3 linked regions of the Sus scrofa genome follow. The main gene of each other region encodes a partner of the protein of the gene in region 2 in a complex. Links are inferred from orthologs where the notes say so. Each region holds a gene or a part of one and is shown on either strand. Other genes may lie near its edges.

Region 1 (3,743 bases), on a different chromosome or scaffold from region 2:
AGAGAATAAACAATCCTTTTTTCAGGGGGAGGACTTTTTAGTTTTTTCCAATAGTCTGTGAACTCGTGGGGGCTCATTTTTGTTTGTCCAACCTCGCCCGCGGTGCCACGTGGGCATTCACCGGTCCTCACAACCGGGGATACGGCACATCACTGCAGTGGCTGCCACTGTTTGTCGTTGTAAATAAAATACTACTTTCTGGAGGCAGCACTGATTCATTCCTTCTTATTTCTTTCCTCTGTAGTTGGAGGAGAGGTGTCTAAAAGGTGGAGGCAGCGGAAAGAGCGGGAGAAGGCCAGGGGAAAGTCTAGACAGGGTTTCCTTTCATTGTGTCCCTTCCTCCTCCCCCTCCCTCCCCCACTTTCCCCTTCTCGGGGGCAGACGATCCCCTATTGTAATTTACATATTCTTAAATTTGCATATTCTCCGGGGCCCAGAGAGGGTGGGGTTCAGCCCCCCACTCCTCAGCTAAGTTTACAGCTCCTAGTATTCCAAGCAGGGTGTTTTCAAGTCGCCAAAACGCGGAATTAACTACTCTCGGCCTCTCCCCTCCCGCTTTCCTCCTTGGGTTGGTTGGAAACTTCACCCAGACACCAAGAAGCTCCGCCCTGGTAGTTTTGAACCGGCCACTGGCTGAGGCCCCGCTGGGCACGCTCCCTCTCGAGGTCCCCCTGGCCCCGACTCTGCCCCCGGAGAGGTCGCCGGGAGCCCGCTTCCCCGGGGCCAGGCGGGGAGGGGTGGGCTCGCGCGGAGGGCAGGAGGGAGATGGTCTGGCAAGAGTTGGCACTCAGCGAGCCCTGGCCGCCCAGTCCCCCGGGGCGCCCGACTGGCCGGGGCCTGGGGGCGGTCGCCCCGGGACCGCCTTCGATTGTGTCCCCCTCCCCACTCCCGCCCGCGCGCCCTCTTCCCAGCTCCGCCCCGCCGGCTGGGAGGGGGGCGCAGCCCGCGGGAGACGCGCGGACCCCCACCCGCCCGGGCCGGCGGCAGCGCAGGCGGCTGCGGCCTAGGGCGCCCGGCGGCCGCCAGCCTCCTCCTCCCCCTCCCGGAAGCGCGGGGCGGGGTCCCCGGCCGGGCCGCGGGGGCGGGCGCGGGGGCCGGGCCGGGGCGGGGCGCGCTCGGCGCTCGCAGGCTCGGCCGGCTGTGCGCGCCCACTCCGGCTCCAGGCGGCCAGCGCACGGGCCCAGGCCGCCGGCTCCCAGCCGAGAGGCAGCAGCAGCCGCCGAAGCGGCAGCGGCGGCGGCAGGAGCGGAAGCAGCTCGCGGCGAGGCCCCGCGCCCCTGGCAGCCCCTCCCCGGCGCGGTGCATGGAGACGCGGCCCGCCGCCGGCCCCTGAGCCCGCCGCGCGGCCCGGGACCCGCGGGGGCTGGGGTGGCCTCGGGCTCCGGCCGGCCCACCGAAGCCGGACTCGGGCTTGGCCGGCCGCCCCCGCCGCCCGAGGGCTGCGCGCGGCCCGCGGGCCTCGTCGCCCGCGCGGATCGCCGCGGCCCGGCCGTCCCGTCCCAGGAAGTGGCTGTCCTGACCGCCATGGCTCACTCCCCGGTGCAGTCGGGCCTGCCCGGCATGCAGGTAGGCAGGAACCCGGCTGCCGAGGGCAGCGAGGGATGCCCGGGCCGGGGCGGAAGCGGGGAACTTGGCGGTGTAAACACGGCCCCCTCCCCCTCCGCTGCCCCTTCCGGGGTCGCGCCGGCCTCCCGCGCCGCGCTCGCAGCCCCCGGGGCGCCCCGAGCGGCCCCGCGGCCTGGGTCTCGGGGGCGGAAGGGTGCAGGGAGCTGGGGCCGCGGCCTGGAGGCGGCCCCGGCGGGCAGGGGGTCGAGGGGGCCGTGGGGGTGCCGGCGCTTCGCCCTGCCCGCGTCCTCTGCCCCCGGCGCCTCCCGAGCCGCAGGCCCCGCGCCGGCCCATCCCCGGGGAGAAGTGATGTGGGGAAATGCCCTTGGAGGCCCGGCTCGCTCTCTGGGCCCCGGCGCGGGCGGCGGGCGCTGGAGGCCCCGGGCCGCCCCGGCGAGGGGGCAGTAAAGTTGAGAGGCGGGAGGGGAGCCCCGGGCGCGCCCCGACTGGTCCGGGGCCCGCGGGGCGGCGGAGGCAGGGCGGGGTGGAGGAAGGTGTAACTGCCAGCTCCACTTCCAGCGCGTTTGTTCGGCGCGTTTCCTCCTGGTGCCGACGGAGGGGAAAGTGCGAGCCCGTAAACCTTCCGGAAGAAGGGATCCTTCGAACCCCGTGCCCTCGAGGGTGGATCCCGGCACGCTGGGCTTTGCCTTGGATGCAGCCCAGTCCCTTCCCAGTAAACCTCTCCGATGCTACTTGGTGGCTCCTTGGCCTTCCAGTGACTTTTTTTGGAGTGGGGGCAGGGGTGCGGGGGGTGGGGGCGGGGAGAGAAGTTGCATTTCCAATTTACAGGACTGCGTGCAAGTTTTTCGCCATGGGGGACTGTTTAAAAACTCTTTGAAAAATAAAACCCCCGTCCTTGGCCAGTTTGTAATGTTTGTAAGGGCATATAAATGGTGGGAGAATGGTTGGGATTAAAATCTCACTATACGGTTAGGGTATGTGGGTAAAGTTTTGCATTCCCGGTTTAGCCAAGCGAGTTGGGACACACCAGCTTTAAGGAAACAGCCACAAGTCTCCCAGCGGATTATTTATCTTGAGACTTTCTACGGGCTCGTTTTCCTCTCTCCCCCTCACTCTTGAGGCCTGAGAAGTTAGTACCTGGACTCCATAGGACCTGGGAATCTGCCCCCCTTTTGGCGAGAGATCATTGCTCTTTCTCTCTCTTAAACCAGAAAAAGAAAACTCGATTTCATTGTTCGCGATTGCTGGCTAGAAAAATAAGGGCACAAAGTTACCAGCATTTTAGAGTTTTGTTTTTTTTTTTTTTAAATGGAGTAACAGTTTACGTTAATAACCTGACTGTGCTTGAGGAAAACTGTCCTTGACTCTGATTTAAAGAATTTTTCAATGCAACGTGCATTTACCACCTAAGCTTCTACTGACTGCTAGGTAAAAATCGGATGTGGTTTCTTGGTATTTCCTAAAATTCCTGCTTTTGTTGGTTTGAATTTAGAGGCAGGAAGGCAAACTGAACTGGGTGAAAAATTATTTCTGACCAGCAGAGCAAGAAGGACCTCTTGTAACATTAAAAAAAAAAAAAAAAAAAAAGCATTTGCTCAATGCTTTCTTTAGACTGACTCTTAGGCTGTTAATCAGGTTGTAATCTAGCTCGCACGCCTCACTCAAAGTACCTGGGGGGTGTTCGGCTTTTGTGGAAAGCGAACCAGTTTAAAAAGGAACTTAAGGCCCAGCTGGCTGGTGCCCTGAAGCCAGCATCAGATGGTCACCAGGTGGTCTGTGGTCTTAAACACTTTTTTGGTCCTCATCTTGTTTTCAAAGCATGGGCCCACATTCTTAAATCTGGGGGAAAAAAAGGAGGTACCTTGCTTTAAATAACTCTGTCTCCCAAATGTTATTTCCTAGGTAGCGTTACCAGGGAACTGTTTTTATTTTGCTTTCTCAGAAAAGCTGTTAAGTTTTTATGTGGATGAAAGAACCAGATTTTCGGCTGTTAGAGTTTTAGGGGCGCGAAGGTGGCGTCTGACCGAGTTCGCCCTGTGTTTAGAAGTGTCTGCACACACTGTAAGGTGATGGGTTTTGGTGCCCTTGGGGGAGGAACATTCCTTTCCTCTCCCTCCCTTAAACTTCAAAAGGAAAACAACAGGCACATTGAGTTTCTACTTTGAACCAGCGGCTGC
Region 2 (3,643 bases):
AAGAAACTAGAGAGGAGGCGCCAGGAGGGGAGAGGGTGGGTTTCGGATGCTCTCAGGACATGACTCCCTTGGAACTGTGATGGTGACGGTGACTGATGTGTTGGGGTTTGGGAGGGGGAGGAGGTGGCAGGGCATGGCAGAGCCCTGCCTGAGAAGGCCTGCCTCTTTTCTCTCTGCCCTCCAGTCTCCAATGGCCCCGTGGAGTCGGTCACCCTGGAGAACAGCCCGCTGGTGTGGAAGGAGGGGCGGCAGCTTCTCCGACAGTGAGTGTGTGGAGGGACGGGGTGGGGGAGGCATGTTTAGCTCGGGAGATAAGCCCGAGGACGCCACCGTCCTTCCTGTTTCCACTGGGGACCCTGAGCTATCAGGATCCCTGCCGGCTACAGCGCGATGGCCCGTCCCCCTCCCTCTCCCTGGGAAGGAGCAAGGGAGGACTTCCTGCAGGAGGCAGGCACTTTGGAAGGAGACCCCGAGTGCCTCTGTGCCTTTTTTCCTCTGAGGGTAATGTTAAAATTGTTTTTTATTGGATGTTTTAGAAAATTTGGGAAACACAAAGATAAAAGTCACTCGTAATTCCACCCCCCAAGGAGTTTCATGCCCCTGGAAACATTTTGGCACATATGCTGTCTCTTCTGCTGTGATATGTATTTGTGCCTGTGTGTGTGTTTTAGAGAAGCGAGGGTTTCTCCTTCGCAATGTTCTGTAATGTGTTGCTTTTGCTAAGTGTTGTGAACATCTTTCCATGTAAATTAGTTGTGTCACATCATTTCAAGACATTTATCATAGTTTGTCACGTGGATAGTCATAATTTCCTGTGGCCATCGCTTCTGATCTATTTTGTTGAAGATGTTTTTAATAGACATTGTGACAAATACCAGAAAATTACGTGTCCATCTCCTTGATTTCCTTAAGCTAAATATCTGTGAGTTCAATTGCAAGCTTAAGGTGTGTGCAAATGGTGACAACAGAATGATTATCACAGGGACGCTTGCCAGGTACCTGTTATGGTGCCTGGCACGTGCTAAACATTTCGCACACATGGATTCCTCGCATAAATCTCCGTGTGACCTGACTGCTAGCATTCCCCTTGTATTCACAGATGACAAAAGCAGGTGCAGAGAGGGTATCTGTTTGCTTAAGGTCGCAGAGAGGGTCTGCAGTGTGATCTCAGGCGGTCCCTCCCCAGCCCGCTTCCCTGCCCCTCCGCCTGGGACTCCACACAGGCCCTGGAGAGGAGACGGCAGGCGAAGGCGGGGGCTGTCTGATGTTCCCACAGGGACAGAGTCAGGGTCGACGGAGAGGGCTCTGTAGGCGCCTCCTGAGGACCAGCATGGGACTCTTGTCTGCCAGTCTTTTGAAGCCACAGATACCCAAAATTGATTTTTTTTTTTTTTTTTTTAAGTTTTTGGACCAATTTACCAAATGGCTTCAGGTTTTGTTGTTGTTCTTGTTGTTTTGGGTTTTTTGTCTTTTTAGGGCTGCACCCACAGCATATGGAGGTTCCCAGGGGTCTAATTGGAGCTATAGCTGCCGGCCTACACTAGAGCCACAACAACGTGGGATCCAAGCCTCATTTGCAACCTACACTGCAGCTCATGGCAACACCGGATCCTTAACCCACTGAGCAGGGCCAGGGATCGAACCCGTGTCCTATGGATGCTAGTCAGGTTCCTTAACTACTGAGCCAGGACGGGAACTCCTCTTTTTTTCCGTAAATTTTTTTTTTTTTTTTTTTTTAATAAACACTTGAGTTCTAAGGAACATGTAACTTATCCTGCGAAGCCGTTTACCATGGGCCTCTTTCTTTGGCACATAGTATCCATCAGTCGCTCGCTTCCACAGGTGGACGTGTAGCTTGGCCCCTGCGTCTGGGCTCTCTGAGCGCCTGTGACGGCACGGTGCCTCTGTATAAAGGCTTCCCCTGGAAACAGTCTCAGAAGGGAAGCAGCAGGATCAGGGGTATGCTTATTTGAAATCTCGGTGTGGCGTCTTAAATTGTTTCTCCAAGAGGGCCGTCCCAGTTTGCATCGGCCCCCAGAGTATGTAAAGAAGCCAGGAGGTCCCTTGACCTGCCCTGGCTCCGCCTCCCTGCAGGTACCTGGAAGAGGTGGGCTACACAGACACCATCCTGGACATGCGGTCCAAGCGCGTGCGGTCCCTCCTGGGCCGTTCGTTGGAGCTCAACGGGGCCGTGGAGCCCAGTGAAGGGGGCCTCAGGACTACACCGGGCCCTGGGGGACTCAGTGGCGGTGAGTCGCTGCTGGTGAAACAGATCGAGGAGCAGATCAAGAGGTGAGCCCTTGGGCCTGGTGGGTGCATCCGTGTGCGCCTTCTCCCTCCTGATGGGTTGGGGTCAGAAGGTCAACAGTGCTCTGGGAGCCACTTCCTTCCTGGAGGGTGTCGTGGGCTTCTTTGTTCCAGAACCTTCTGTCCTGGGTCCCCTGCACCACCCCTTCCCCGGTGCCGCCCTGGTGCTGGTGTGCACCACAGCTCCAGGCCCATCCCCTCCTGAGCCTCAGGCTGGTGCTCCCTGGCCCCCCCGGAGCCCCTGCTGAGGGAGACCCCGGGCCACAGAGCCCTAGGAGCACTTGTTCACTCTCTCATCACTAATCGCCTGATCAAAGTAAACACCTTCAGGGTGGTGACGCGAGGTGCCGTGTGAAAGGCAGTGAGAAAGTGACGGGCAGTCATGGCACTTGGGAGAGGGTGAGCAGGGAGCACCTCTTCTTGGAGGTGCTGTTTGGGCAGGAAGTGCATGGAACTGAGGCTCAGCCGCCCAGGTAGCTGGGAGAAAGAAGAGTGTTCTAGGCAGAGGGAACGGCAAATTTAAAGCTCCCAGGTGGAAAAGACCTGGCCTGTTCAGAGCTGGCCGAGGCTGCAGGGAGTGAGCGCTGTGGTCTGCAGCAGGGCTGAAATCTCAGGAGGCAGAGCATGTAGGGCCTCAAGGCCACGATGTGGAGCTGAGAGTCTAGGCTTGTGGGAAGCCCGTGGTTTCAAGCAGGGGTGTGACATCATCTGATACCCGTACTACTACTACGTCGTGTGCTTGTCCTGTGCTTCGAGAAGGAGGGGCTGCTGGAGGGCCCGGCGGAGACTCAGGCGTTAGCGGGGCAGGGGGAGGAGCGGTCTGCTTTCTCTTTGGGGTAGGTTTTTAGGGTGAGCCGACACTATTTCAAGGATTGGCTGTTGGGGGAGAGGAAAAAAAAGTTAAAGGGTGTGGTCTGAGCCGCTGGGGCAGTGTTGACCGAGAAGGAGAGAACGAGGGGGGATCAAGGGCCGTGGAGTTCGAGGTGCCTGTTTGACCCCAGTGCTGGGGGTGGGGAGCCCCTAACTCCTAAAGCGCCTCTAGTGCACCTGCAGTGGTGGGTTTAAAAGCCCGGGGCTTGGCAGTCACCGAGGCCAGGTGTAGCTGGCGCAGGGAGGTCTGAGCGCTGAGCCCAGGGGTCTCCCACACACGAGGAGGCCCCGGCAGCCGTGCGGGAGGCGGCCCAGGCATGACGTTCTGCCGGAGGCCGGGAAGGGAGCGCAGGATCTGGGATCCACACTTGGATCTCCTGGAGGGGCGAGCTCCACCCAGTGGCAGCCAGACACCTGGGCAGTTGACAAGGACTCTCGAGAGCCTCAGCCCAGTGGCCAAAAAGGA
Region 3 (3,743 bases), on a different chromosome or scaffold from region 2:
AAAATAAACTGTTAAAAAGTTATAGGCCGGTCGACCACTTCGCCCTGATCTGTGGAAATACTATACATTAATTTCAAGCACACATGGCTACGTTCAGTTTTCTTACTACTGGAACGGTCTGAAAGTTGCTCCTAACTTGCTAACAAAACTCCAGGAGAATTTTACAAGCTCATCATATATTTCTGCATCTCATCTGCAATCTTTTTCAACAAAAGAATAGTCAACGTGATCAAGGCTCAAGAGTCACACTGCATGCCATCAAATTTATTTTTAGGGTACTCCACAATTTTAACTGTGGAAAACTTTTTGGGTTGCACCCAATGCTTAAGAACCACATCTACAAAGAAAATGGAAATCAGATGTTACGAATTTACCATTTCATTAAGACAGGGAAAGTGACAAATAAATATTCCTCTCTTTTCCTGCTAATATCCAGATGCCTGCCCTCCCCAAATCAGGGTGGACACAGGAGTCACAACGTGGGGCAAGGCATCAAGTGACAGGCAGAATTCGTAATTTAAAAATATGTGATTCACATTCTAAACCACCTTAATTAAGGGTGCAAAATTCAGCTGATAGGGACCTCAAGATAATGAAACAAAGCAGGGAGCCGAAAGAAATACTGAGCAGCAAGCAGTTCCTAAACCATATAAATCAAATGAGGACAAATCAAATAAGGACCAGAAACCATAGAAATCAAATAAAGTCAAGACAAATGAAATAAAGACCAGAAACCGTTTTCTCCCCCGCACACCAGAGTTCCCCAGGATCACAAACTTGATCAAAGGGAGGCCCTCGCTCTGCTGACGCAGGCAGCGCGTGCACACAATGGCCTGAGCAGGCACGGGGACCCTCAGGGACAAACCTGACATCCGTAAAGTTCACAGAATGGAAAGGAGAGCATGGTGGGAAAACGTTCGAACTTTCTCCCACATGAGACAGAGCAAAACTGTAGTTAGTCCTGCAAACTACTAATTCTCTGGGTACAATCAAAGGCAGACTGAATGAATGGGGTGAGGGGCTGGGGGTGGGGGGGGAGAGGGAGGGAAGGGGGGGTGGCCTGAGAAGAAGGAAGTTTGAGGCGTTTGGTAAAACTTGAATGGATTAACCTTTTCAAAGGCCCCAATAGTTCTCATTTCCCTTCTTCTTCCTCTCTCTCTCTCTTATTTATTTTTTGTTTTTATTAAATACACACCGACTTCCTGGGACTCAACCCAGACGTGCCCTATATTCAGCTAAAAGGCCTGGTGCCTAGACACACAGGAGTCCCAGGCTAGATCTATGTCCGACACAAATGGTCCTTTGGGGGGGGGAGAGAAAGTATTTTAAAAAGCACTTTTTGGACCATGCATAAAATGCGACCAATTGTTTTTTTTTTTTTTAAAAAGATACATTCCTTGCATCAATTGGTAATTTGAGGCCCCAATCCACAGCACTTTGATTTCTACTAGAACCATAAGCTATTTACCAAACATTCTTTTCTGAACTTGGAAAAAGGTTGTCCTCACATTTTTAGAAGATAATGAGGCTGTCGATGCTAGTCTCCGACCGATTCATAAACGGGTTGTTTATGAAAAAAAAGAAAATTCGAATGCGTAAAAGTAAGCTTGGATTACATTTAGCAGAGAGCTTGAAATGCACCGATTTAAAAAGATAAAATAGCGTGAAAAGCGTACGGACATCGCTGACTTCTTTAATAAAGTGAAAATATAAGGGGAGGCTGGGTAGCTCTCGAGTGAAAAGTTGGGTCCCCTGCCCTGTCTAGGACAAAAAGTTTCCTTTAACCACACTGTAACAGTCGTGCTGTGGGAACCGCAGAGGGAGGGAGCGGGGGAGTCATCACCTCCGCTCTGCTAACAGAGGACCCTGCATTTCTCACGCCACACGAGGGGCTGGGCCAGGTGGGGGGAGCGAGATACAACTTAAGCAGCAGCACCAAAAGGGGAAAAGAAGTCACCTCTCTTCGCCCTACGCACACAGGAAGAGCCTAATTCAAAGCCGCCACCACCGACACCCCTGGTCTTGCTCCGCCCCAACTCGTGTGTTTGTGTGTGTGTGTATGTCCGGGGGGGGGGGGCAGCACGACCTGCGTTTTATGCCCAAATTCCGAGACGCCTCCATCTCTCCCACGTGAAGTCCTCCCACCTCCGACCCCCAAGCGCATCACGCTCAGCCAGCGCAGGTGTCCGGCTCCGGCCTATTTTTATAGCCCCCCGCCGCATCCCCACCTCGCCGCGCGCCCCGGTCCCTCCGCGCGCGCCTGCCCCGCGCAGTGCACCACCTAGCTTGCGCGCCGGGAAACACTTAGACCCTCTTTCCCCGTCACCTGGCCGGAGCGACCGGCCCGGCTTCGAGGCAGCCCTGGGCCGCCTGTCCTCGCCGGTGCCCAGCGTGGAGTGCACCCTGGGCTCCCGGGCAGTCACGTGGACGGCGGGGGAGGCCCGGGCGTCCTCACCTGCATCCCCGGCACTTGGACCGCCACCGGTGAGTGGGCCATGAAGGCGAAAGCTGCTCCGCGCGGCTTCGGCGGCGGTGGCGCCTTGGGCTCCGACTGGCTCCTCCTCCGGGGGTAGGTCGGCGGCCCTCCCAGGCTTTTCGACCCGGGCCTGGAAGGACACACACAAGTGGGGTTACGGGGCGGGTAGCGCGCGCGGCCCGGGGCTGGGAGGTGGGCGGTCCGCGGCGCGGCTCCCCGGGACTCAGTCTACCTTTCTGGTGCCCGCCCGCCGCTGTGGCCGCCGCCTCCGCTGCCGCTCCTCTTCCTGAACGCCGGGCGCCGTGTGTGGCGGTGGCCGGGACCTGGGCTCGAGTGATGCCGCTCGTCTGCGCCTCGCCGCTTTAGGAAGAGGAGGTGGAGGCGCCCCAGCCACCCGCTCGCTGGCCGGGCCCGGGAGGCGGTTGGGGGCGGTTCCGCCGCTGGCCCTGCCCCCGCCCCGCTGCCGGGCGGTGTCAGGAGAGCTAGGGCTCCGCGCTGGGAAGGGGCTCGGCTGGGGTTGCTGGAGCCTGAGCCGAGGGAGACTCTCCCGGCCGGCGGAGAGGAGAAGCCGGGCACGGAGGGGCCTGGAACATTGGTCGGCCTGGAGAGAGAAAGGAAGAGTTCGGGTGACCCTTGGGGTACGAGGGCGTCCCGGACGCGGCCACGTTGCAGGCGGGCGTGCGAGGGCTGGGGCGCACGCCGCCTCGGAGAAGTCCTGAGTTGAAACTTGGCGAGTGTTGGAAGTCCTTCCGGACTCTCCGATCTGCTCGAGGCCGGGGGGTGCAGAGAGCCGCCGAGTCGCTGGACCCCAGCTCTTAACCCGAGGTCTGGGCTCCCCAGTTTGGGGCCGCGCCTCTGGGCGGGTCGGTAGCCACCCTCCGGCTTTCCGGGTTCCCCGCCCCCAGACAAGCTTCAGGTGACTTAGAAGTGAGGCTTCCCCTACCTTTTGGGCTCTCGGTTGGACAGGGGTGCGAGGCTGTGGGAGAGGGCGACCAGGCCTGGGCACAAGGTCAGTTCTGCACGTGTAAGAGAGAGGGAAATTGGAAAACAGGTGGTACATGGGCAGAGAAATGAATGAGGGTAATAGAGGCATGTGAAACGAGTTTGGGTCCTTAGCAGTACGTAGTATTATTGAACTCAGTGCTTTTGGCAGCCCCCTGCCTCCATCCCACTTGACGTGCCAGTCCAGCAGGGAGACAAGCTCTTTTGCGAATACCCGAGCAACAACAACAATAATAATAATAGCAATTAAGTAACCTCATTATGA

Evidence for each region.
Region 1: STRN4 (region 2) and STK24 share a complex: the UniProt entries of both Homo sapiens proteins name them as parts of the core of STRIPAK complex. The link is inferred for Sus scrofa from reciprocal best matches to the Homo sapiens genes STRN4 and STK24.
Region 3: STRN4 (region 2) and STK26 share a complex: the UniProt entries of both Homo sapiens proteins name them as parts of the core of STRIPAK complex. The link is inferred for Sus scrofa from reciprocal best matches to the Homo sapiens genes STRN4 and STK26.

The regions. Positions count from the first base shown.
Region 1 is NC_010453.5:67,563,012-67,566,754, reverse strand, and holds the start of STK24 (serine/threonine-protein kinase 24), read left to right. Parts: upstream 1-1,112; 5' UTR 1,113-1,524; coding exon 1,525-1,566; intron 1,567-3,743. UniProt on the Homo sapiens protein: Serine/threonine-protein kinase that acts on both serine and threonine residues and promotes apoptosis in response to stress stimuli and caspase activation.
Region 2 is NC_010448.4:52,614,407-52,618,049, reverse strand, and holds part of STRN4 (striatin-4), read left to right. Parts: intron 1-184; coding exon 185-263; intron 264-2,094; coding exon 2,095-2,292; intron 2,293-3,643. UniProt on the Homo sapiens protein: Calmodulin-binding scaffolding protein which is the center of the striatin-interacting phosphatase and kinase (STRIPAK) complexes.
Region 3 is NC_010461.5:108,178,274-108,182,016, reverse strand, and holds the start of STK26 (serine/threonine-protein kinase 26), read right to left. Parts: upstream 2,788-3,743; 5' UTR 2,709-2,787; intron 2,607-2,708; 5' UTR 2,498-2,606; coding exon 2,456-2,497; intron 1-2,455. UniProt on the Homo sapiens protein: Serine/threonine-protein kinase that acts as a mediator of cell growth. Modulates apoptosis. In association with STK24 negatively regulates Golgi reorientation in polarized cell migration upon RHO activation.